Schizosaccharomyces pombe: one gene and its partners. Changing the gene in region 1 together with any one later gene gives a genetic interaction. Each region holds a gene or a part of one and is shown on either strand. Other genes may lie near its edges.

Evidence for each region.
Region 2: mutations in mak1 (region 1) and arf6 together harm fitness more than expected from each alone (negative genetic interaction), as found in Schizosaccharomyces pombe (one large-scale study listed by BioGRID).
Region 3: mutations in mak1 (region 1) and iqw1 together harm fitness less than expected from each alone (positive genetic interaction), as found in Schizosaccharomyces pombe (one large-scale study listed by BioGRID).

The regions. Positions count from the first base shown.
Region 1 is NC_003424.3:4,706,405-4,717,241, reverse strand, and holds mak1 (phosphorelay sensor kinase Mak1), read right to left. Parts: upstream 7,534-10,837; 5' UTR 7,273-7,533; coding exon 7,204-7,272; exon of another isoform or gene 7,104-7,203; coding exon 2,253-7,103; 3' UTR 1,981-2,252; downstream 1-1,980. Other genes in the region: mug51 (variant protein kinase 19 family protein), read right to left, coding at 1-672; kinesin-like protein Klp3, read right to left, coding at 8,284-9,509, 9,583-9,736, 9,782-9,855, 10,064-10,163, 10,217-10,327. UniProt on the Schizosaccharomyces pombe protein: Involved in the control of the SAPK-dependent transcriptional response to peroxide stress. Also has a role in G2/M regulation.
Region 2 is NC_003423.3:4,374,012-4,379,239, forward strand, and holds arf6 (ADP-ribosylation factor-like protein Arf6), read left to right. Parts: upstream 1-1,717; 5' UTR 1,718-1,845; coding exon 1,846-1,951; exon of another isoform or gene 1,952-2,050; coding exon 2,051-2,081; exon of another isoform or gene 2,082-2,283; coding exon 2,284-2,356; exon of another isoform or gene 2,357-2,411; coding exon 2,412-2,610; exon of another isoform or gene 2,611-2,653; coding exon 2,654-2,799; 3' UTR 2,800-3,166; downstream 3,167-5,228. Other genes in the region: fmd1 (glutathione-dependent formaldehyde dehydrogenase), read right to left, coding at 1-723, 831-874, 1,032-1,064; trp1 (anthranilate synthase component II), read right to left, coding at 3,210-5,228. UniProt on the Schizosaccharomyces pombe protein: GTP-binding protein that functions as a molecular switch for the activation of 'new end take off' (NETO), a process in which the directions of cell growth change from a monopolar manner to a bipolar manner in fission yeast.
Region 3 is NC_003423.3:3,161,234-3,167,964, reverse strand, and holds iqw1 (WD repeat-containing protein), read right to left. Parts: upstream 4,826-6,731; 5' UTR 4,794-4,825; coding exon 4,733-4,793; intron 4,688-4,732; coding exon 4,594-4,687; intron 4,548-4,593; coding exon 3,863-4,547; intron 3,822-3,862; coding exon 2,323-3,821; intron 2,272-2,322; coding exon 2,181-2,271; 3' UTR 2,063-2,180; downstream 1-2,062. Other genes in the region: plasma membrane spermine family transmembrane transporter Caf5, read right to left, coding at 1-1,285; phosphatidylinositol-3,4,5-trisphosphate3-phosphatase Ptn1, read right to left, coding at 5,096-6,142. UniProt on the Schizosaccharomyces pombe protein: Ligand-dependent coactivator of nuclear receptors that may function as a substrate receptor for CUL4-DDB1 E3 ubiquitin-protein ligase complex.

The DNA of each region.
Region 1 (10,837 bases):
AAAAATGCCAAGGTTGGGTAATGAGATTCCGTAAGAGTCAGTGCCAGCAAGAATAAGAAAGCCCATACTAATCAGCAGTCGTCGTTCCTCCCAATTAAATTTCAACTCCTCGGATGTGTAGGAAGGTAGTGGATTTTCAATCAATAGTTTATGCAACTTAAAGATTAGCGTATAAATATGTTCCTGATCTTTGAACTTGCACAAATAGTATGTAAATAATTTATCAAACTCAGGTCGCAAAATTAAGCAAGACTCACCACAGAACTTGTCAGATCTATTTAGGTAAAGACGACGGATGTCTCCTGTACGTATAGATTGTTCTAACTCTTCAGCAACACTGGTATAGTTTGATTGAAATAAGCCTATCAACTGTGTTTCCACAATCATTCGCGGACACTGTGCAACTAAAACATTCGTTTGCTGGCGCATTTGAATGTCACGAAACATTTCCTCAACTAAAACTTCTATAGAGTTTCGTATCGTTTTGTTTCTTAATACAATCAATGGAGGAACATTGTACGAAATGATGTTTAATGGTGATTGACCAGTACACATAGATGCTTTAGAGTGGTTTTTTTCAATTGCTAAAGAAGTCTTTCTCCTTTTGCTAAACAGTCTGTCTATTTTAGTCTGTCCATTCTTCTTTTTATTTATTTTTAATAAAGCAGGCATTGCCAAGGTAGGTAAGGGAAGTAACTTACTTTACAGAAATTTCGTTAGTCGAGTTTTCATCACCTTCAACATTTAACGCAGTGATTTTTTAATTGCCAGCTACGCAGTTTAATAACTATTTTAACGATACGAAAAACTGCAGTGAGTTTTCCTTGCGACTTATACAGTAGTACAGGAAAATAAGTAGCAACTCGTTAAAGATATTCTAAATTTGGGGTTACAATGTAACCTATTAGTAAAATAGTTTATAGTTGGGCTAAGGAACGAGGTTTAGTGGTGGCTTCATTATAATCTTTTTAATGGTTCATAACAGTGGGAGTCTATTTAAATTAATAAAAGGGTGGTTATCGGCAATTATCAATACACGGATTGAACTAAAATCCTAACATATGGCATACAGTGAGTGTTGCACAACTGTAGTGTCAGCAATACTACACTACGCTATGATACATTACGTTGCGTATCACTATATGTCATATGTTGGAATACTAGCTAAGATCCGTTTATTGATAATCACGGGTAACTATCCGTCTATATACATAGATACCCGTTGATAACAACTATTTAGAAATATTATAAATAGCGTTACAACTGAACCTCGTTCCTCAGTTCAGTTATGAGCTATATTAGTGATAGGTAACATTATAACCCAGTTAATACAATACCTATACTCAGTTGCTACTTATACAACCTGTGTATTGTAATATAATAGACCACAAGGAAAACTCACCGCAGTTCTACGTATCCTTAAATCAGATACCAAACTGCGTAGCTTACATGTAGCTAGTGTAGTATTGCTGACATGTAAAATAGTAATACTATATAACGTAGTATAAGTATTGATGCATTATCTAATCGGTTGTAGGCAAAGCCAGTAATTGAACTAAATATACTTTGTACGACGAAAGGTATTGATACCAACCAAGAACTTGTTTTTTCTTTCTGGACTGGCTTATAGCATTCCCCTTGGAATTAGAATAAAAATCCTGTCTACACAGTGAACAAATATATGTAGTGATGCATAGTGAAGTGTAGCATAATTTACGCTTATGGTAAGGGAAAAAATTTGCTCCAGCAGTGACTTGAACACTGGGCCTCTTGCTTACTAGGCAAGCGCTCTACCACTGAGCTACAAGAGCTAATTACGAATTACCTAAAGTTTGCATTTAACAATGAGAATGTATCCTCGAATTGATTATTTGACTGCTTCCTATACTTTAATTTGGTTTGTATTTCAAAACTGATTGATTAGCACACAATACAATTTTTTTTTTAACTTGCCAATAAAATACACATTACATTAAACAAGGGGAATATGTGATATTTAATATTATTATACTGGTTCTGGGCGCTGGAAATATAAATGCATTAAAAAGTTAATAAAATAAAATATGAGATGCTTAGATAATTATTATTTTGGAAAATATTCAAAATAAGAAGTTGTCAATTTAAATAAATATAGGCACTAAATAAGCTTTTGATCAAAACAAAGAAAAAATATAAAGTAAAAATAAAAGCATTAAAACAGTGAGATCCTTTCTAAAAATACAAGCAAAAGTGAGTGAAGATTAAATATCAAATCATTTGTGTAACTTTGATTGGTTCGTATAATTAAGTATGCCAGATATGATTAAGGACAAGTGTTGCAAAGTAATAGGTTTGGCAAGGTAAGAATCAAAACCACTATCTTTGCAGCTTAAAACAACATGAGGTAAAGCATTCGCACTAAGTGCAACTATAGGAACTTTAGGGTAATCGTTTTCCAATTCGTATTTACGAATTTCATTACATGCCTGGTAACCATCCATAACAGGCATTTGTAAATCCATTAGAATAAGAGAGTAAAAATTAGGCTTTTCACGTTTCCATTCTTCAACACATTGCAAACCGTCCATGGTGACCTTGAATTTGACACCAATTCTTTCAAGGTAACGGCTTATAACCTTAATATTGATAATGTTGTCTTCCGCCAACAACACGCTAAAGCCAGACTTTGCCAGATTATATCGGAGTGTTTCAGCATCAGCCTTCTGCTCCATTGCAGCCTTTCGAGTCATATCATTAAGTGCACCGATTTTCCCCTTTTCCTCAGAATCAGAATAAAATAATGGAAAAAACTTGGATGGTTTCACAAGTTTTAAAACGTAATGGATGCTTTCCGAATTACAATCCTCGCTATCTGAAAAAATCTTAGATAATGATTCTTTTTGTCGAGTGGAAGTCACCAAAATAAATTTTGTATCCTTGTATAGACTACAAAGTTGCAGTGATTTGACAAATAAAACATATGCTTCTATGTCCGGAAGATTTAATATAATATGGGTGACCTTGGATTGCATAGGATTCTCTAGCAATTCTTCAAAGGCTTCATAGGTATTTCCATACCTTACGATATCTTTAAATGAGCTTATATCGATAATTGATTGAAGCATGTTGCCAATCGCTTCACTACTGTATTTAGTGTGTGATACAACAACGGCTAAAGCACTTTTATCCAACTTGATCCCAGAAGGTTTGTTTCTATAGAGTCTCCAAAATAGAACTGTGTATGGATCAGCAGATGCGCCGCATCGACAAAATTCCGATTCAGAAGCGAAAGGATTCACATATTTGTTGGATTGAACATTTTTGTCCGATTCAAGTTTACGTCGGTTGCTTTCTCTTCCGGGATCTGCTTTATTTACGGCCAATTTTACAAAATTCGTCGCGCTTTTATCGTTTCCATCGTCTGCGCAATAATAGTCTTCTGTGCTTTGTTTGCTTTTTTCGTATGGACAAAAACAGACTGGACAACAACCATCTGGGGGTTCAAATTTTAGAGGAGTTTTATCCATTGTAAACGTTGCAGTCCACATAAAGCGCGTTCCCACGCCTCTTCTACTTTGACAGGACATACTACCATTATGTAGCTCAACAAGCTCTTTTGAAATAACTAATCCAAGACCTGAGCCACCATGTCTTGGTAATGTAGAACTCTCTACTTGAGAAAACGGTTTAAACATTTGTAATTGATCATCTCTGTTAAACCCTTGACCGGTATCAATGCATTCCCACTTTAAAACAACAGTATTGGTTGAGTAATCAATCTTTTCAACGGAACAACGAGTAAAAACTTCACCAACATTCGTAAATTTAATAGCATTTCCGATCACATTCAAAGCAACTTGCCTCATTCTCATATTATCCCCAAATACTATATCAGGAACATCAATGTCAACCGTGTAGTTCAATTCTATTCCCTTTGAAAAAGCGAGGGTACCTAGAGTTTCGTTTGCATCTTCCATCATAGCTCGTACAGAAAAGCGTTGGCTAGTTAGCTTCATCATTCCAGCTCTGACTTTACTAAGGTCCAAAATATCATTGATAACAGTCAAAAGAGACTTAGCTGATTGCTGAATAATACGTGCATAACTCAGCTGTTCGGCAGACATTTGAGTTTCCAACAAGAAGCTTACCATGCCTGTAATACCGATAAGAGGGGTTCGAATTTCATGAGACATATTGGAAAGATACTGCATTTTGCTCCGAACAATTCTTTGAGCTTCAATGTTAGATTCTTGGAGCTTTTCTTCCAACATTTTATGATCGTGAATATCAGTACAAGTTCCTAACCAGAGATTAGTAGACGTATCAGCAGAATTATTTACGCAAACAGATTTCACCAAATGCCATCTATAATGACCATCGGTAGATCTAAAACGTATCTCCGCCGCAAACGTTTTGGTACCATTACTTTCGTCTTGGTTATTAAACGTTCCCTCCAAAGATTCAGGCAATAAACATTTCTTGCGATCAGCGTGATATACAGCAGATAAAAACCCAAGTCCCAATGAAGATTCCAGTGAAAGACCTGAATAACTTAACCACTGCGCATTTGCATAAATAATTCCATTTTTACCATTTGCGGCAAAAACAATTTGAGGAGAAGCTTCAGCTAAAGACCTGTAGCTGTTTTCATTTGCGGCTATAGCTGATTGTTTTTGTAGTTCTCGTTCTGCCAACTTTTGATCATGGACATCCGTCATTGTTCCAAAAAAATGTAGCACAGATCCAGTGCAATCCCGTAAAGGAACCGCGCGACAGATAAAGTATCGATAAACATTATCAAACCTTTGCAAACGAATTTCATGATAAAAACCACTACCAGAGAATAATGAAGATTTCCAGTCATTTAAAAAGTTTGGCAGATCATCAGGATGAATTCGACTAAATTGTAGCTCTATTTGCTCATTCATATTTAAACCACAGTAAAGAAGAGTTTTTCTATTAACCCATGTGAGTTTTCCACTTCCCGGATCCGCAGTAAACACATGAACCGGTATAGAATCAATTATAACCTTTAGTAAGGGAAAAGGAGGCGCTTGACCACCACAATGCCCTTGCACATACTTGTGAGATTCAGAAGTGCAACAGGCATATGATTTTGATTTATCTAAAACAATTTCATCCTTCTTTAGAGTAATAGTTTCATTTGAATAATTTTCACCATCATTTAGCGAGAATCTCAAATTCTCGTTCACTTTAGAATTCTTTTTGCTAATTCGAGACTTCAATCTAGCTAGCAAACGATGCTTCTTTAAAGTAACCCATGATCGCTGGTTTTTTTTAAAAAATTCAGAAGGAACTGGTACAAACCTAGGCAATTTAGGTATGTTATTAAGAGAAGATCCTTTAGCATTGATATTGCAAAAGCTGCCTACGCACTCTCCTTCTTTATGAGGACAATCAGAGTTTTCGGAGCTCGCGCTCATACTCAACTCCTTGGTATTGTCAGTGCTAGACGTGTTAAATAATAGATGCCTTTGTGTAGGACAAGGAAGTAACGGAACAGATTGAGAATTTGAGTATGAAGAAAAAATAAAGGGTATCAAACGTTCTATGGAGGCTATTAAATTTTCCGGATAAGGAACTAAATTGGACTTGAAAGAAAGAATTGCAATTGGAGCTCTCCCACGGCTTGAAGTTTGATCCGAACAAGGAAACATCAGAGGAACATGTACAATACTGACAGCAGTTTCAGTAGGAAAACTGGTGAAGTCGTTCAAATGATCTTCTTGACGCCTGTTACCAGAAAAATTCATACCTTTACAATCATCATTAACAGCTGTTTCTGATACGGACTCTGAAGCAGACTTCTCTGTTGACGATTCAGTAGCGAAAGAAGATTCTTGCAAGCAATTTTGGAAGAATGGATTCCTATTAGGATCTGTTTGAATGGAGGGACTAGCAACTGGAGATCTTGACCAAGGAGAAAGTAAATTTTGTTCATACTCATCATAAATGTTTGAAGGTTCTTCCGAAAAAGACGAACTTTGTGCTTTTGAAATGTCACTTTGGGAATACGGTTTACGATTCTGACTGAAATGTGAAACAAATGCTCTCTTTTTCTGTGGATAAAGTCCATTTAACTGAGCTGCAGAAGCACTAATTTCAACCTGCTTTTTCAATTCATTAAGTTTTTCATCATGAAAAACTTTCCATGAATTCTTAATGCTGCGAATATCATCAACATTAGGTATAGAACTAAAGTAATCATTATCATGAACCTTGGTGTTTTTAACAATGTGCTGTTGTTTACGTGTATATACAAGCAATGTCGCACGCTCCAAGACTGTTTGTACAACTTTGCTATCAATAAGCAAATCCCCTTCATGTTTAAGAGAAGCTGGATCTTTGTATATAATACCCTTTGAACCATCCGAAGCAACTACGGTAACATAAGAACTGCTAGCAAGGTTGTCATTAACACTTATAGGGTTACTATACGGATCATAATGGGAACCGCCATCGTAATAACATCTGAGTTGCCAAGGAGTATTGTATATGTCAGAAAGGTCACGCGGTTCTACAACAGATATTTGAGTGGAAAAAAACTGCTGAGCGAAAAAGTCAATAATGTTTTTCCAGAAATTCATCAAACCGGTTTTAAAGACCAATAAGCAAGCCATTTCATACACATTTCCAATGGTACGGTTACGCTTCTCCTGTAACTGCTTAAATAAGTTAGCGGATGAATCTGTTTCAAATGGTTGCTCATCAGTTAGTGAGTGCGAAGCAGAAGTATTATCGTTGTTCAAAGCATTTCCACAAGAAGAAACGGATGGAGCAGGTGAATGGCATAATGAATTTAGTGATTCCCTAGATTTTTGAGGAGAATAGCAATCTGAACTCATTGAGGAGGTTTTAAATAACTCATTGGGACGTTTGGATGTCATCAATCGATTTGGATTTACTCGGGGAAAATTAATAAGTCGCTCATCCTCTAGTGAAGGAGAAGATACATTATTGAAAGAAAATGAATTTCGATGCTGCCTATTTAAACTGGTGGGAGATTCAAGTATCGGAGAATGAACAGAGCCAACAGAAGAGTTTTGAGAATTAGTAAACGATCCTACAATTTTTGATGATTTTTGCAGCTGGTGGTCCATGGCCTTATTCAAACGTTAGTAATTTAAATTAATTAAGTAACAAGAGATATCACATTTTATTTCATATTTAAAAAAGGAGAATCCAAGTATTGAAATCACTTACCTCTTTCAACTTTTCCAAGTGAGAATTAGAACCAACGTTATTGTTGATTTGATCGTCAGGTGGCCTCATTTTTTTAGACTAAATTTACAGGCCAGTATAGATACTAAATAAAACAAAGTTTCCAACTGTAATTACCAAAAAGAAAGTGCTATCTTATAAAGATCGTTTCAAATAAAAAACTGATGTATTTGAGTTATTTGACCACGGCAACCAGCAATGGAAATTATAAGCGTACCATTTAAAACGCTTTTTTCCTAGCGACTTTACAGCACTGAAGATTGGTAAAAAGTGTTCGAAATAGGGAAATGAAACAACTCAACAAGTTGTGTTAGCAAAATGTAAATGGATATTGAAGATCGCGTAAATGTTGTTTAGCGAAGATTGGTGGCTAGTAAATATGATCGTTCTGTTAGAAACAAGTCACTACACTATACTGTGCTGCGTTAGTTCAACTTTTCATAATATTCATGATTCTCCGTATTTCCATCCTTAGTGTAAATCTTCTATACTAGTAGTTTTATAACAATGCATTATGTTGATACATTCAAACCTTCTTTCCTGACTTCAGTTATAAGCCATATATGTGTGGTTATGTTAGTGTATTCAATATCATAATTATATTGATACAACATTTTACCATCTACGATAAACATCCTACATAAGATTATATACATCGCAAGTAACACTTAAACTACAGTTCGTTGTAGCTTAAAAAAGGTAATGATTGCTTAGCCAATAGTCAATCCTTGCTAAAGAATAGTAGTCTCAGATTACTAAATTCGCTGATTATATTATAACGGTAAATTTTTATTGAATTGTTATTACATCATCATTTGAGATGTTACACATTTGCTGAATAAGCATATAAACAATGCATTGCTGCGTAGCTGTTTTCTTTTATATTATAATGCTGCAGCAATATAAAAGAAGCTGCATAAATAATTAGTCAGAAAATTAGTTTATTCAGAAAGCAGCTAGACGAGATGCAATATTTCATGATTAAATGTGAGCTCAACAACTCTAAAGAAATTAATTAAACATATATAATCCTTCGCAAAGCAGAGTAAAAAAGTGTAGCTTTTAAGTGCCCCCTTGAATTTTCTTAATTACTGTTCCATTTTGAGGTCGCTCTTTGGAAATTAAAGCTTTAATCAATTTTCGTTGAACATTTACTAGAGCAGCCAGTGAGGAATCCAAAGTACTCAGTTTTTGTAAAAAATTGTTTCTCTCGTTATTTATCGAAAAATTTTTATCTTTCTGTTCTATTGTAAAACCCGGTTTGTCATTTAATGAGTTGTTTGCAGTAAGATTTGAATTTACTCTGTGGTTTTTAACAAGCTCAACATACCGCTCCTGAGCATCGCCCAATGCAGTCATAAGGTCTGACAATTGCTGTTTAGTGGATGATAAAACACCATCTCGTTGTTTAAGTTCAAGTTGTGCTTCAGCATACAAACGATTGATAGAATCAGAATCAAAGTTATGTCTGTGTATCGAAGCAACTGTGCTTTCGTCTCTGTCATTATTACTTTCCTGAATTGTTCTATTTCCTTGAATGATTTCTGCTTCCTTTAAGTTGGATTTTTCGGCGAGATTTGACAGTGTGAGGGAATGCTCGCCTGACCATACGTTAGAATGACAATTATTATAGTCTAAGTTATTGTTAATTCTGGCTCCACAAACGCAACGAGACAAAGCATCTTTATAAATATACAGCTGTCTTTTCATTTCATCAACAGAAAGTTCTGAGTTTACTACCGCTTTGTTTTTGATGCTCTTTGCACGATGTCCAAACCTAAGAGTAGATAAGGTCTCTGTTGCATTGTATGAATCTGGTGAACAGTTAATAATTAGAGTGGTCCGAGAATTTCCACCAAGAGACTCTTTTAAAATACGCGTTAACTTGGAATCTCTATAAGGAACATGTGATAATTTGCTGTCTGTGAGAGAATTAATAACCATTCCAAGAGTTGAAAGAGAACGGTTTATTTTCTTTGCTTCTTCTAAGGTTTGCCCGACTGCTCCACTTTTTCCTACGCTTTCGGAACCTGCCAAGTCAACTAAAAACAACCGGCCTCGTCGAGTTTCGCCGGACTCAGTGTCCGTTTGGACAACTTCGAGTACAAAAATAGAATGAGACCGTGAACTTTGCGCATTCATCGACGTACTTGCAACGGCACGTGACCCCATACCTTTATTTAAAATATCCAATGCCTCCGTTTCACTTGATACGTAAATCGTTTTTAAACCTTGAACATAAACTCCCTGAAGTTTATCTTCATGAACCGTCAGTCTGTCATTTTTTTCTGTAAATCATGGTTAATTTTGCTGAAATTAAATACGAACGTCGCAAAATTTCTACGGCATTTGAAGGCTTACCGGAAAGTAGATCATGAATTTTTTCCATGTAGATTTCCATGTATGATACCTTCACTTCGTATTCAGTAGTAGATGGTGAATCGCGGATTTTGTCAAAAATACGCCTGAGCATTCTTGGAGTCATTCCTTCTTTTTCGAAATTATTTTCAATACCCTAAAGATTGTTAGAAAAGTGTGCCAGGTGAAATTGTGAATATACCATCATGGTGTATGTTTTGCCGGATCCTGTCTGTCCATAGGCTAGTACTGTTCCGTTATAACCCAAGAATAAGTCTATAATATATTAGTACATATTTAATGAAATTCAGAACAACTTGAATGTGATTCGAACAATGTATTAAAATGGCAATTCGTTTCAAATGAAGCGTCAAAACGAGCGCATATAAAAAAAGGCTATGCTATAATTTCATACAAGCTGTTGCTGACAACGATGAAATTAATCCGTTCAACGCCGTGTAAAGTTTTACTATCATTCACATACCATCGACTGTCGATTCAATTGAATACGAAAATATATCATTCTGAGTGCTAGAAGGATGAAAAACACGATCGAATACAAAGTTTCCTGAGTAATCACTAGTCTTTTAATCATGTCAGCCGAATTCTAAAGTAAAGATCAATTGTTGAAACCTACCTCGATATGAACAGTAGAATCGTTTAATGGGTATATCACATTATTTCCTCCAAGGTCTTGTTCCAACTGGTTCGTGGGCCGAATTCGGCACACTACTTTAATTGAAGTCATTGAGTAAAACTGCTTTATAAAAAGATAAAAAATCAAATAATGTATGATTAAAACGCAGTATATAAATTAGATCCATACATCCAAAAAAATCATTAAAGACAATATGTGAGCGGGCTAATTTCATATACAGGGAAAGACGAGGTTAACCTAACATGGTGCCTCTACAATAATTGTTGTTTAAGGCAACGTATCAAAAACAGAATAATATCATGTAATTAACTACATAATTGTTTAATGTTAAAGCTCGAAGTGTGAATTAAAAAAAATAAATTTACAAATCAACAGGCTAAAATTGTTTACTTCCTTCTACATATTCTTTTTTTCCTGATATTATTTGAAGATTTACACATGTATAAAATTCTTAAGATTGTTCAATCTTGATTCATATTTTAAGCAGAGTATTTTACCCTTCGTCTGATTAATATCTGTGACGAAAATTGGATTGCAATTTCTCACATATTTATTTATGAAAATTTGATTAAATGGTAAGAACGAGAAACCTCGCAGGTA
Region 2 (5,228 bases), on another chromosome or scaffold:
AATGCATAGTCAACACCACCATCAGTCACATCAATAACATACTGTACGAGGTCTTTAACTTTAGAAGAATCGATAAAGTCAGTAGCACCAAATTTCTTGGCATATACTTCCTTATCTGCATTGATATCAATAGCAATGATTCTCGAAGCACCAGCTGCAACCGCACCCTGCATTGCAGCGAGACCTACGCATCCACATCCAACAACAGCTACCGTTGAACCAGACTCAACCTTAGCAGAGTGTGTCACAGCACCAAATCCAGTTGTGACACCGCAGCCCAACAAGCAAATACTGCGAAGAGGTGCGGAGTGTGAAATAGCCACAAGCGAGATATCAGCTACAACTGTGTATTGACTAAAGCTAGAACATCCCATGTAATGAAGCAACGTTTTATCGCGACAGGAAAAGCGACTAGTACCGTCAGGCATTAAACCTCGACCTTGTGTTTCACGAATTTTGGAGCACAAATTAGTTTTACCACTACGACAGAATTTACACTCTTTACATTCCGGAGTATATAGCAAAATAACATGGTCTCCAGGACGCACGTTGATAACCCCTTCGCCAATGCTTTCCACAATACCAGCACCCTCATGACCAAGAACAATAGGGAATGCGCCTTCTGGATCTACACCAGACAGCGTGTAAGCATCTGTGTGACAAACAGCACTCCAATCGACTTTCACACGAACCTCATGAGCTTTTGGAGGGGCAACCTGAATACTGTAGTATCACCTCCCATTCTGCCCGTTGATGAGCAGAAGAGAAGTCAAAAGTTAGTAATAAAATTCAAGTATAAATTCTTTTCCTTTTGTCATCATTATACTTACTCCTCTATAGATAAAGGTTCCTTTGCACCCCAAGCTACGGCTGCCTAAAACGAATGTTATTAGTACACAGAAAGAAAAAATAAAAGATAATTATCCATATACTCATGGATGAACAATAATATCAAAAGTAAACCTTTGGTGGACTTACAGCACCAATATCATTTACACTTTAGACAATGATTTACGTTTTCTTTTTCATACCTTGCAAGTGATCGTTTTACCTTCGAAAGACATGTTTCATTAAAGACTATCTCAGAATGTGTATTTGGTAGAAAGACTGTTACAGTTTTAACATTTAGGTCTACTTACTTATTACATATGCTTACTACTAGATAGGTCGCGACTCGGATGAAAATTGTCGATCATCGTCGATCTTGTATCTCAATAGTCACTTGCTAGATAGAGAGATATACATACAAAAATAAAGAATCAATATTAAAAAGTACAATTTAAAATACAGTGCTAGCATAGAAACATATGTTACGAAAACATTAGTTTGTTTATAATTCAATACTTGAAGCCTTCTTCTACTAAATGTTATTTTATATGATTGTTTTTTATTTTTATTTTTTTTTGAAAAATACTTTAAATAATGAGGCTTCAAATCATTAACATACACTGTTAAAGTTGAGTAATATAAATCTGCGTTATTAGGCAAGGGAATGAGAATGTTTCTATTCAATAAACTTGATGGAAATTCCAAAAGTTAATCGATAAAAATAATATTCTTAATATTTAATTTATTATTCGTACATGGGATTTACGATATAGTACAAGACCATGGGCTTCCATATAATTCAGTTACGCAGCTCGTTAATTTACATTATGTATCAGCTCGGCTTAATTAAATATTTCAGACAGAGAGAGTTGATATCAGCTGCACCTACGTTTAGTGCTAGCCGTCTTTTAAAGTACGAAGAAAGCCCTGTATCTGGGTTCAATATAAATTCTACTTCTTTGGTTTTTTTGGTCTATTCTTTCTTTTGGTTATCTTCTTCTGGGATTATTTGATACCATGGGCAATTCACTATTTAAGGGGTTTTCAAAGCCATTTAGTCGGTTGTTTTCTAACAAGGAAATGCGTATCTTAATGCTAGGTCTGGATGCAGCTGGAAAAACGAGTATGTTTTTTATTCGGATGGATTTTTACAGTCTTCATTCCGTATAATCGTGCTTAACTTGGTGTTTTAATAATGGTAACTCTTTTATTAACATTTTAGCTATCTTATACAAATTAAAACTCAATCAAAGGTAAAGAGCACTAAACAGCATTCTTCGATTGTGTCAAGGTATCGTATGCGCTGCTTCTGTATTAGCATAGTAGATATAGATTTCATTACGAAGACTGTTGGTTAATTAATCAGTGAAGTCTACTGTCGCGCATTATCTTGAGTTGCAATTATGCTTCCGTAAATGAAATTGATTTTTCTTGTGTTCATTAACTAACAGCCAGTGTTGTCACCATTCCCACTGTGGGTTTTAACGTCGAAACAGTCACTTACAAAAACATCAAGTTTAACGTTTGGGTATATTTATAATCAATCTTGGGTCGAGCATGTTCTAACGTTGATTTGTTTGTAGGATGTTGGAGGTCAAGATAAAATACGACCTTTATGGCGGCATTATTTTACTGGAACCAAAGGATTAATTTTTGTTGTTGACTCTGCCGACAGCAATCGTATATCAGAAGCTCGTCAAGAATTGCATCGCATTATTTCAGATCGTGAAATGCGGGACTGTCTTCTTTTGGTGTTGGCTAATAAACAGGATTTGCCTGGAGGTAAGGTTGCGAATCCGAATAACTTATGCTAACACTATGGTAGCTCTTTCACCTGCTCAAATTACCGATGTTTTGCAGCTAGACAAATTGAAGGATCGTTTATGGAACGTTCAGCCAACATGTGCTCTTACAGGAGACGGGCTGTTGGAGGGTCTGGCTTGGCTAAGTCAAAACGCAAAGTTAAAATAATTTGCTTCTTTGATTTGTTAATACATGGTGTTTATTTCGTTCGTTATCCCAAGAATTGCAAATAATTACATCGATCAGCTTCCGTTCTATCCCTTTATCGTTGCTTAATTAAATCTGTACAGTCTTTACTATTCATTTTCTTTCTTTAGCATATAACTTTACTATTGCCAATCGTTTCCCTATTCCTACTATCACTTTATAATGTGCTTCATTCGGCCAAATACATTTGGATAACAGCCATTTTTGTCAATAAAATATTTCTTAATTTAATACAGAAAAGTGATCAATAACCAGATAATATAATTATCGCACACTTCTTATCCAACAAAATCTAAAACCAGTTATTTTAAGCGAAGTCTCATGATATGTATCCAAAAACATCTAGACAAACTTGATTTAATGTAGACAAGTTAAAGTTCTTTTACGGCGTTTATAAATGCCTTGATCTTTTCAAGATCTTGTTTCCCGTCAGTCTCCACCCCACTCGATACATCGACTACAGCTGGGCGGCTAACAGATATAGCATCTTGTACATTTTTAGGTGTTAGACCACCAGCTAAGACATAAGATACTGGAATGAAAGATGCAGCTTCCCAGTCTACTTTCTTGCCTAAACCTCCTGACTCTCCACCGACATATGCATCAATCAAAGGTACAATATGATAGTTGGGCCTTGAAATTTCAGAAGAATTTAGCGGAAACACCTTAATAACAGGTCTATCGAGCATATGTATCCATTCGAAAGGTTCTTGTCCATGAAGCTGGACAATATCCAAGTTCACTTCTGCTATTATAGAACGAATGTATTCTAATGGTTGATTTTGGAACACACCGACTAACAAAGGGTGCGGAGAGGAAGCAAGATTTTCATACTGATGATCAAACCAACTTTGACCAGTCACTGCTTTCTTTGGGGAAATGTGTTTTCTATTGGTTGTATGAACAAAATGTGAAATTTCCTTGGCCACGGACAAGTCCACTTTTCGTTTGCTCTTTTCCACAAAAATTAACCCTATCAAATCGCCTCCTGATTCTACAATGGTTTTAGCAGCTAACAATGAACGAGTACCACATACCTTCACTAGGGGTGTTGATGTTTTTTTACCATTAGATATCTCGCTAGAAGAAAGATTAAGTAACTCTCGTGCAAAAGCGGCAGGATCCGAAGCTCTCATAAGAGATTCACCAACAAGAACTGCTGATACACCTTGACTACTATAATGGGCAACATCAGCAGGACTACTAATTCCACTGAGAGCTGCAAGAATAACATCATCTGGGACCATTTCGGCTAATTTTGATGTAGTGGAAAGGTCTACTTCAAAACTATGCAAATTCCTGTTATTAACGCCGATAACTTTAGCACCAAGTTCTATAGCAGTCTTCATTTCCTCAGCACAGTTAACCTCTACTAACGGTTCCATGCCCAAAGATTTAGAAAATTTATAGAGGGACTCTAATTGTTCACGGCTTAACATCGCAACGATTAGCAATACACTATCAGCACCATTCAAACGAGCCTCCATAATTTGATAAGGGTCAATAATGAAATCCTTTCTCAAAATTGCAGGCCGATTAGCTACATGCTCAACAGCTTTTCGCGCAACAAACAAATCATTCAATGAGCCTTTGAACCATTTTGGTTCTGTTAACACAGATATGACTGAGGCGCCAACCTGAGCATAAGTAAGAGCTTGGATAGCAGCATTTGCGTCTAACTTAATGTCACCTTTAGAAGGGGAAGCACGTTTGACTTCAGCCATTAAAGCTGGTTTAGATTGCTTTAATCTCTCATAAAAATTTATACATGGAGGTGCTATGTTAAGGTTCAAATATGTTTGCAAATCACCCACAGAAAGACCAGGCTTTCTTTTACTTTCAGCAATGTCAATAAGTCTCTGCGCGTGGATTTTCTCAAGGATAGATTCTTGTTTGCGAATTTTAGTTGAAGAAACAGAATTCGAATTTTCACGCATAGCCGCGTTAAATGCGTTATTTTTTGTAGGCATAACAATGCCATTTTCTTCCCAGGTTCCAGCAGTGAGATTCAAAAAATTCTGAATATACTCTTTGCCATACTCACTAAGGATACTTTCAGGATGGTATTGAACACCCTCAATAGCATACTTTTTATGGCGTGCACCCATTATTACACCATTCTCGGTCCAGCTTGTAACGTCCAAACAATCAGGAAGTGATGAAATTTTTCCAGCAAGAGAATGATATCTTGTTACAGAAATATTTTGAGGTATTCCTTGGTAAAATCCGAGACCGTCGTGATTTATTTTAGAAACTTTTCCATGTATGATTTCACCAGCGGAATCAACTTTACCACCCATTGTCTCAAAAATACACTGAAGTCCCATACACACACCAAGTATAGGAATCTTTCCAGCAAATCTCGAAATAGCCTCGTTACAAATACCACC
Region 3 (6,731 bases), on another chromosome or scaffold:
GTACAATCCAATGGACCGATTCTCTTCCCGACCAGCCAAACCAGAAAAGGCAAATGGGAATAAAGAACGTTGCTGGAAATGAAATGACCAAAACTCCTTCCGGAGCAAAATCACCACCACTGGCCATGAATGCTGGGATCATCACTTTATACAGGAATACGAAATAGCAGGCTAAAGTAATCAAGGCACCCACGAGAATACCTAAGTAAACCAAGCCATTTTCAATAATGGTAAAATGGTAAACGCTAGTAAAAAGGATTGGGAAAGCTTCGAACCACAGATATAAAATTGAATAGATTAGCCCAATATATATATTTAAAGACAATACTATCGGCTCCGAAATACTTAGTATTATCGGACGAATTATGGTTTCCTTTGCAAGCTGAGCAACACTTAAATGGGAAGATGCCAATTCGGCCTCTGTTCTATAATTTTCGTTTCCAGTTATCTTACGGAACCTCTTTGCCCTCTTATATAATATATGCCATTCAGAAGTCTCTGGCATAAAAAAGAAGATAACAATCAATGCAAAGCCAGAAATCATCATCAAAAGCCAAAATTGCCATCTCCAAGATTCAGCAACGACCATCGCTCCACCAAGCAACGGTCCCAAAACTGGACCACCGATGGCTCCAATTGCCCAAAAACACATAAAGTAGGGAAGAAGCCATGGTTGCCAAATATCTGCCAAAGTAGCACCTCCAGTCGCTAGAGCTGGCGAGCCGAAGAAACCGGCCAAAAACCTCATTGGTAATAAGACGCCCAAGCTAGATCCCAGTGCGGTGGGAATCTGTAAACACACAAATACAAGGAGAGAAAGAACATAAATCTTTTGGCGACCAACTTGTGGAATCTCCGAGAGTGGAGACAAAATTAGGGGACCGATGGCATAGCCAAGTACAAAAAGAGTCAATCCCAAAACTACGGGAACAGTTCCTACGTGCATCGTTTCTTGCATTTCTGATATACCTGGAGTAAAAATTGCTGATCCCACATAAACCGCAAACGTTAAGAAGCAAATATCAAAAGTCACCACAAGCTTTGCCCACAAAGGCCAATTTAGGGGATTTTCGGGATCGTTGGCATCATCCCATCGCACAATAATGTGTCCCTCTGAATTAACTTCATGAATCTTCAGATCGCCGGATTCCGAGCTGCATGAGTCATTGGAATCTACTTTGCTAATGTCTTTCCATACTCTCAGTTTCTCTAAGTCGTTGTCATTGGAGTTGTGAGAAACGTATTCGACCAATTCGCCGAAAACGGTTTCCCTTAAAAATCCCATTTAAATGACCGTATGTAAAAACCAAAGTTAGTTCTATTTTTTGGTCTCGGTTAACTTTATTAAAAACTTGACAGATTATTTGCCCACACTTGCTGGTACAATTGTCTGGCTACATTCTTCTCCTAATATACCCTTCGTGCCTTACCTAATCAACGTGAATGTTTACTAAGTGTAAAGTAAGCATATATTGATTGATTAGTCAATTATGTGAGATTCCTTCTTTCAATTATCCATCGTATTCTAAGTCGTTTCAGTAAGCAGTATTAAAAGTGCAAAATCATCTTGTTGCTTATGTAAACAAAAAAAAAATTAAGATTGGAAGTTACAACAAACATTTCTAACGTACATCAGTCGATCGTCATCTCGCGTAAAAAATTCTGCCTTAATTTTTGTCAGCAAAAGAAAGCGAAATTAAAAAGTAAAAACAGAACTATATGACTAATCAAAACTAAGTATGAATTAATTCTTTTCAGAGTAATGCGAATACAACAGTTACTTAAAAAAATGATGTCGTTAAAAACAATTTTAACTTCAAACTATGATTAAGTAGGTAGACGATCGACGGAAGACAGAAAATAAGAGGGATTGCTATGCTTGCCGTTTTCCTTTGAAGACGATGTTTCAAGAAAATTAAAATTTAATATTTTACTTTTAAAGAAAAGCTTATATAAAAAATGACTATTAAACATCTGCAGTCATACGCACTTAATATTTGTCCAAATGAATATGCCGAAATTGTCTTGCTTTTAACTACTTCGCTTAAATTCCCAACTTTATCCCAAAAAGTAAAATCATATAGTTATTTCACAACATTAAGTTTACTTGAAAATGTCTAATCATTAATCATAAATAGTTTTAATAGAGAAAATGTGAGCTTCAAAAAAAACTTCCTCAGTTACATAATACTACAAGCATCGGTATCGAGCACTTCGTGTCCAAACCCATCATCCAAATGTGCACGATATGCAAGATGTGACAACATACGACTAGAAGAACGGTTAGTATTTACATGAGCAAATTAGAAGTATTCAACAAACCTCGTTATGTAGGAATCTCGCGACCCCTGCTGCCTATTCATTTCATTGGTAGCAATTATTTTGTAACTATTGGAAGTATGGTTCCTTGAACAACCTGATGGTGGAGTGTTCTCAGTATTGAATATCTTCACGGTGGAATCAATACCGGACACAGCAAGCGTGGGACAACGGGGATGCCCTTCTATAACGTTAACAGCTTCACTATCGCCATGGATAATTGCAAGAATGGAAGCATTTAACTTATCCCAAATAAAAAACCTGCCATCGTCAGAACCACTCATGACATATTCATCATTTTGACCATAGAAATTAACATTTTTAATAGACTCTACGTTGCAGTGACCATAATAACTTTTAACATGTGTGTTCACCGGCACATTTGGTTCCACTGCTTTCCGCTTCTTCATTCTTAAAGACAACAAAGTCGGACCTTCATCCGAATCCTCATCACTTTCATCATCATCATCACTAGCATAGGAGTAACTTTCCTCATCCTGGTAATCATCATCGTCATCATTGAGATCAGAATGCCCAGTATACATACTGACAATATTTTCTCCCGAACTACTTTCAACTTCATTTTCATAGTTCACTGGCGGTTCCAACAATGTCAAGAACCCGTTTTCATCATCAAGTCTTTGGCTGGAAGTAACGTCAGAAGTACTGCTGTCCCAAGGCTGAAATTGCTCCCAGTAGATATCGGAGGATATAAGAAGAAGACAACCGCGTAAAACTTTATGTATCCAAAAAAACCGCCTTACAGAAGATAAATCATTAGTATCTATCCTAGCAAATGCCCTAATCATTTCAGAGGGATTTGAGAATAAAACCCGAGATGGTTCATCAGGATCACACAAAACAAAGTTTTGGCGAGCAACGTTCGTAGGCGGAGACATTTGTAGTGCCCAATGGTCCGATATTCCTAACAAATATCGTGTAACCCAATTCATAAAATCATACAACCATCCCCAGCCAGCTTGTATAATGGTGTTCGGTTCCAAACTCACAGTATCATCCATAAGCGCTAAAATAGAAACACACGCTCTCCAATAACGTAAAGCACTAACGCGGATACTATGATTCAAACCGTTTGAATCGGGAATATAATTATAATTTTCCAAGAAATAAATAGCGTCTTTAACGTACTGAATAGAGCGAGAAAAATGAGATAAACGACCGCTAACAATGCTCTCATACAGTCCTCCATTTTCGGTAGTAAAAAACTTTTCGATATTCTCATACATCTGATAAAATGTATGCTTTCGAGGTTGGGCTGCTGTATACGGATTTCTTGACACTCTACTAGCTGGAGTAGAAGCACCAAAGTTATTCTTATACCATGGCGAGTAATTTTTCCTTTTCAGCGGCTGTGTTTGAAGTAACGAAGGCTTAGACGGCTTTTTATTTGAATCCTCTATTTTATTAAAAGTTGGTGTATAAGATTTATCTTCATGAACATGGAATAAATATACATAATCAGAGTTCCAACTGACAAGCAACTATAACAAACATTAGAGATCACCCATGCAATAAGACTTACCTCATTAGGATTAGCAGCACTAAACTGACAACAAGTGATATAACGATCCAAGATACCTTGGGAATTACATGAGCCATCTGGACTAAATTTACGAACACAACGGCAGTCTTTTTCGGGAGAAGTGTTCATAGTCCAATCATCCCGGAAAGATTTTTTAACCATCCGGCGATCATATAGAAACGCGTACGGATGAGTACCACCAATTGCAAAATAATAAGGGTTTGAAGGGGACATGGTTATAGTGTATAAATTGATGCGATATGGGTTATAATTTACCAGTATAGAAGGACAATCCAAATCTTGATTGCAGACATGTGGCTCACGAATATCGTATTGACGAGCCGTCCCATCTTCACTGCAAACTAGAAAAGTATGACCATTGTCACAAGGGACGATGTTTTTAACAGAATCAAGAGCACAACTCCAACATCTAGTTTGAGTCTCCATGCCGTGATCCATTCCTCCTTCTTTACTTGAATCTAAATCAAACAACTTAATAAGCTTATCACCACTAGCAGACAATATTTGCCGGTTATTAGAATATGGGACAAATTTCGCACTGAAGATATTTTGAACATGGCCAGTAGATATTAAATGCCGTGGCTTGTATTCATTGAAAACATCCCAGACAATTAGTCTTGTATCATCACTTCCTGATAACAAGAATTCACCGTCCGCGGACCAGCTGAAAATTGTAAGCATTGTAGAACAAATTGTTATAAAACACTTACTCTAGTGTATTAACACATCCCGTATGACCAGTTAATTCTTTCTGCAAATCTATACCGGTCAACCAAGTCGAATTGCCGTAGATATCTCGACTGACTAATAAACTAGTTAGCATCATTCAAAAACAAAACAAGAGCATACTTTTTCGCTGAAACCAATCTCTATAATCCAATTGACGCAAGGATAGTGATATCCCAGACATGAGAGTCAATTCAGCGATTAACAAGCGTTGGTGGAAGACAAGCTCAATTCAAGTGGATGTCGGTAATGTAGCCACGATGAGTTAATACCATAAATCGTAACTGCAAACTCGAATCTTAGAGTATAAGCCTTAAACTCAAACTCCTATGTTTTTTTTAAAATTTAAAAAAAAAACTTGAAGCGCCTCTGTAATTTACTGAAGTAGAAACACTTCAACATGTGAGTTTATTTCGATGATCGAAAGGAGGATCTAATTGCACAAATAATCATTTTATTTTACACTAATATAATATTTACAAAATATCAAAAAACATTTTCATATACAATTGTCAGTTGTTCGAAAAAGGGGTCACTTCGTCGGCTATTATCCATTTCAGACCAGGAGAACGAAATTGACTGTTGTCCTTGCAGAAAGGAATTTATACCTTGTTGAAAATTTATCCCGTTTGTGTATTCCACAAGCATAGGTTGAAAGTGAGTATGAAACCAACATTGCACACTCGAAGGAAAGTAAAACTGGCCCTTGCGTTCGACTCTGAGCAAAAGGTCTTTCTCCGATGTTTCTAGGTTGCATTGTATCCCCCATATACGTTTTCCTTCTTTTATGCTTACATTATGGGATGATATATCTGAACTCTTCCACAGAGCAACTGGATTTATGTTTCGTCCCTTAGAGAAGGCATGCAATGATAGAATCAAAGATGAATTTTTTTTAATATTCAAACATTTAAAACTTTTAAAAAAAGTGGTACCAGTATTAAATTCCACAGCTTTCAAATAATTCGGGAACTGTTTTAAAATTTCGATATAATAGACGTAACGTATTTGCGATGAAATGGTAAGACCGTGCCCTCGAACCATTCTTTTTTCAGTATATAGTTCAAGACTTTGCTTGGCTGTCAAGCCTCCGAAAGCTACCAAGTAGCTACATATTACAGTTCCTGTACGTCCTTTTCCGGCCTTACAATGAACTACCAATGTCAACAAAGGTTGCGTTTGAAAGAGTGCATCCATATTCATAACAATAGCCCATAAAAAGAGAAGCGGAGGTGGATTATGATCTTGAAATCCATAATTTATGACATTTGGTTTAAATAATTCCAAATGGTAAACTGTTTCTTCGGCACATAAATTCAACAATATCCAGTTGTCTTTCAATTGCGTTGTAAGATATTTAAATACATCCAATTCGTCGTTTCGATATAACTTATGTATTCCAGCAGCCGGTGTAGACATAGCAATTACCTTGGAAGTAATATAAACCATATCTAAGTAAGCAAAGCTACGATTCACTTTTTCTTGTTTGAGGCCTTTTCGACCCCTCGAAACTACTGATCGAAGTATATTCATGGAAAATTACATGTTTAATTAGTTATTTGTAATATACTAGGATAATACTGCAGATGCCGTTGACTGTTGAAATATGAGGTAAGCTGCACTGTTCAGAAGAAAATAAGAGAAATACAATAAAGATTTTAGTAATGAACTTTAAGCGGGTAGGTATCAACCATAGTGACGTGAATAAATAACTAATTTACTTTTAATTATTTATATATTTTGATAGCAATGATTTGATAATCCATTTTATTGAAAAAAACATAAGGGCATAACTTTTCCCTTTAAACGATGCAAAAGTATTACTAGTAAAAAAAAATAATAAAGAAATAAAAAAAAAAAAATGAGAAAAATGAATAAAAAAAGCCAATAAGAAATACAATCGTAAGACATGAACCGTAAATAAGCATTAAAATATTTTGATAAAAATCCTTAAAAACATTTAAGTCCACCAAAAAACAAACAAACCCATGCGATTATTCGAATCCTCTAAAATAAATCCAAAACGTTTAGGTAAAAAGAAATAAGTGGTAGAAGTATATAACGTTAGACATATGCAATTAATCATACATTAAAAATAAATCGTGAGGCATACACATTAGCG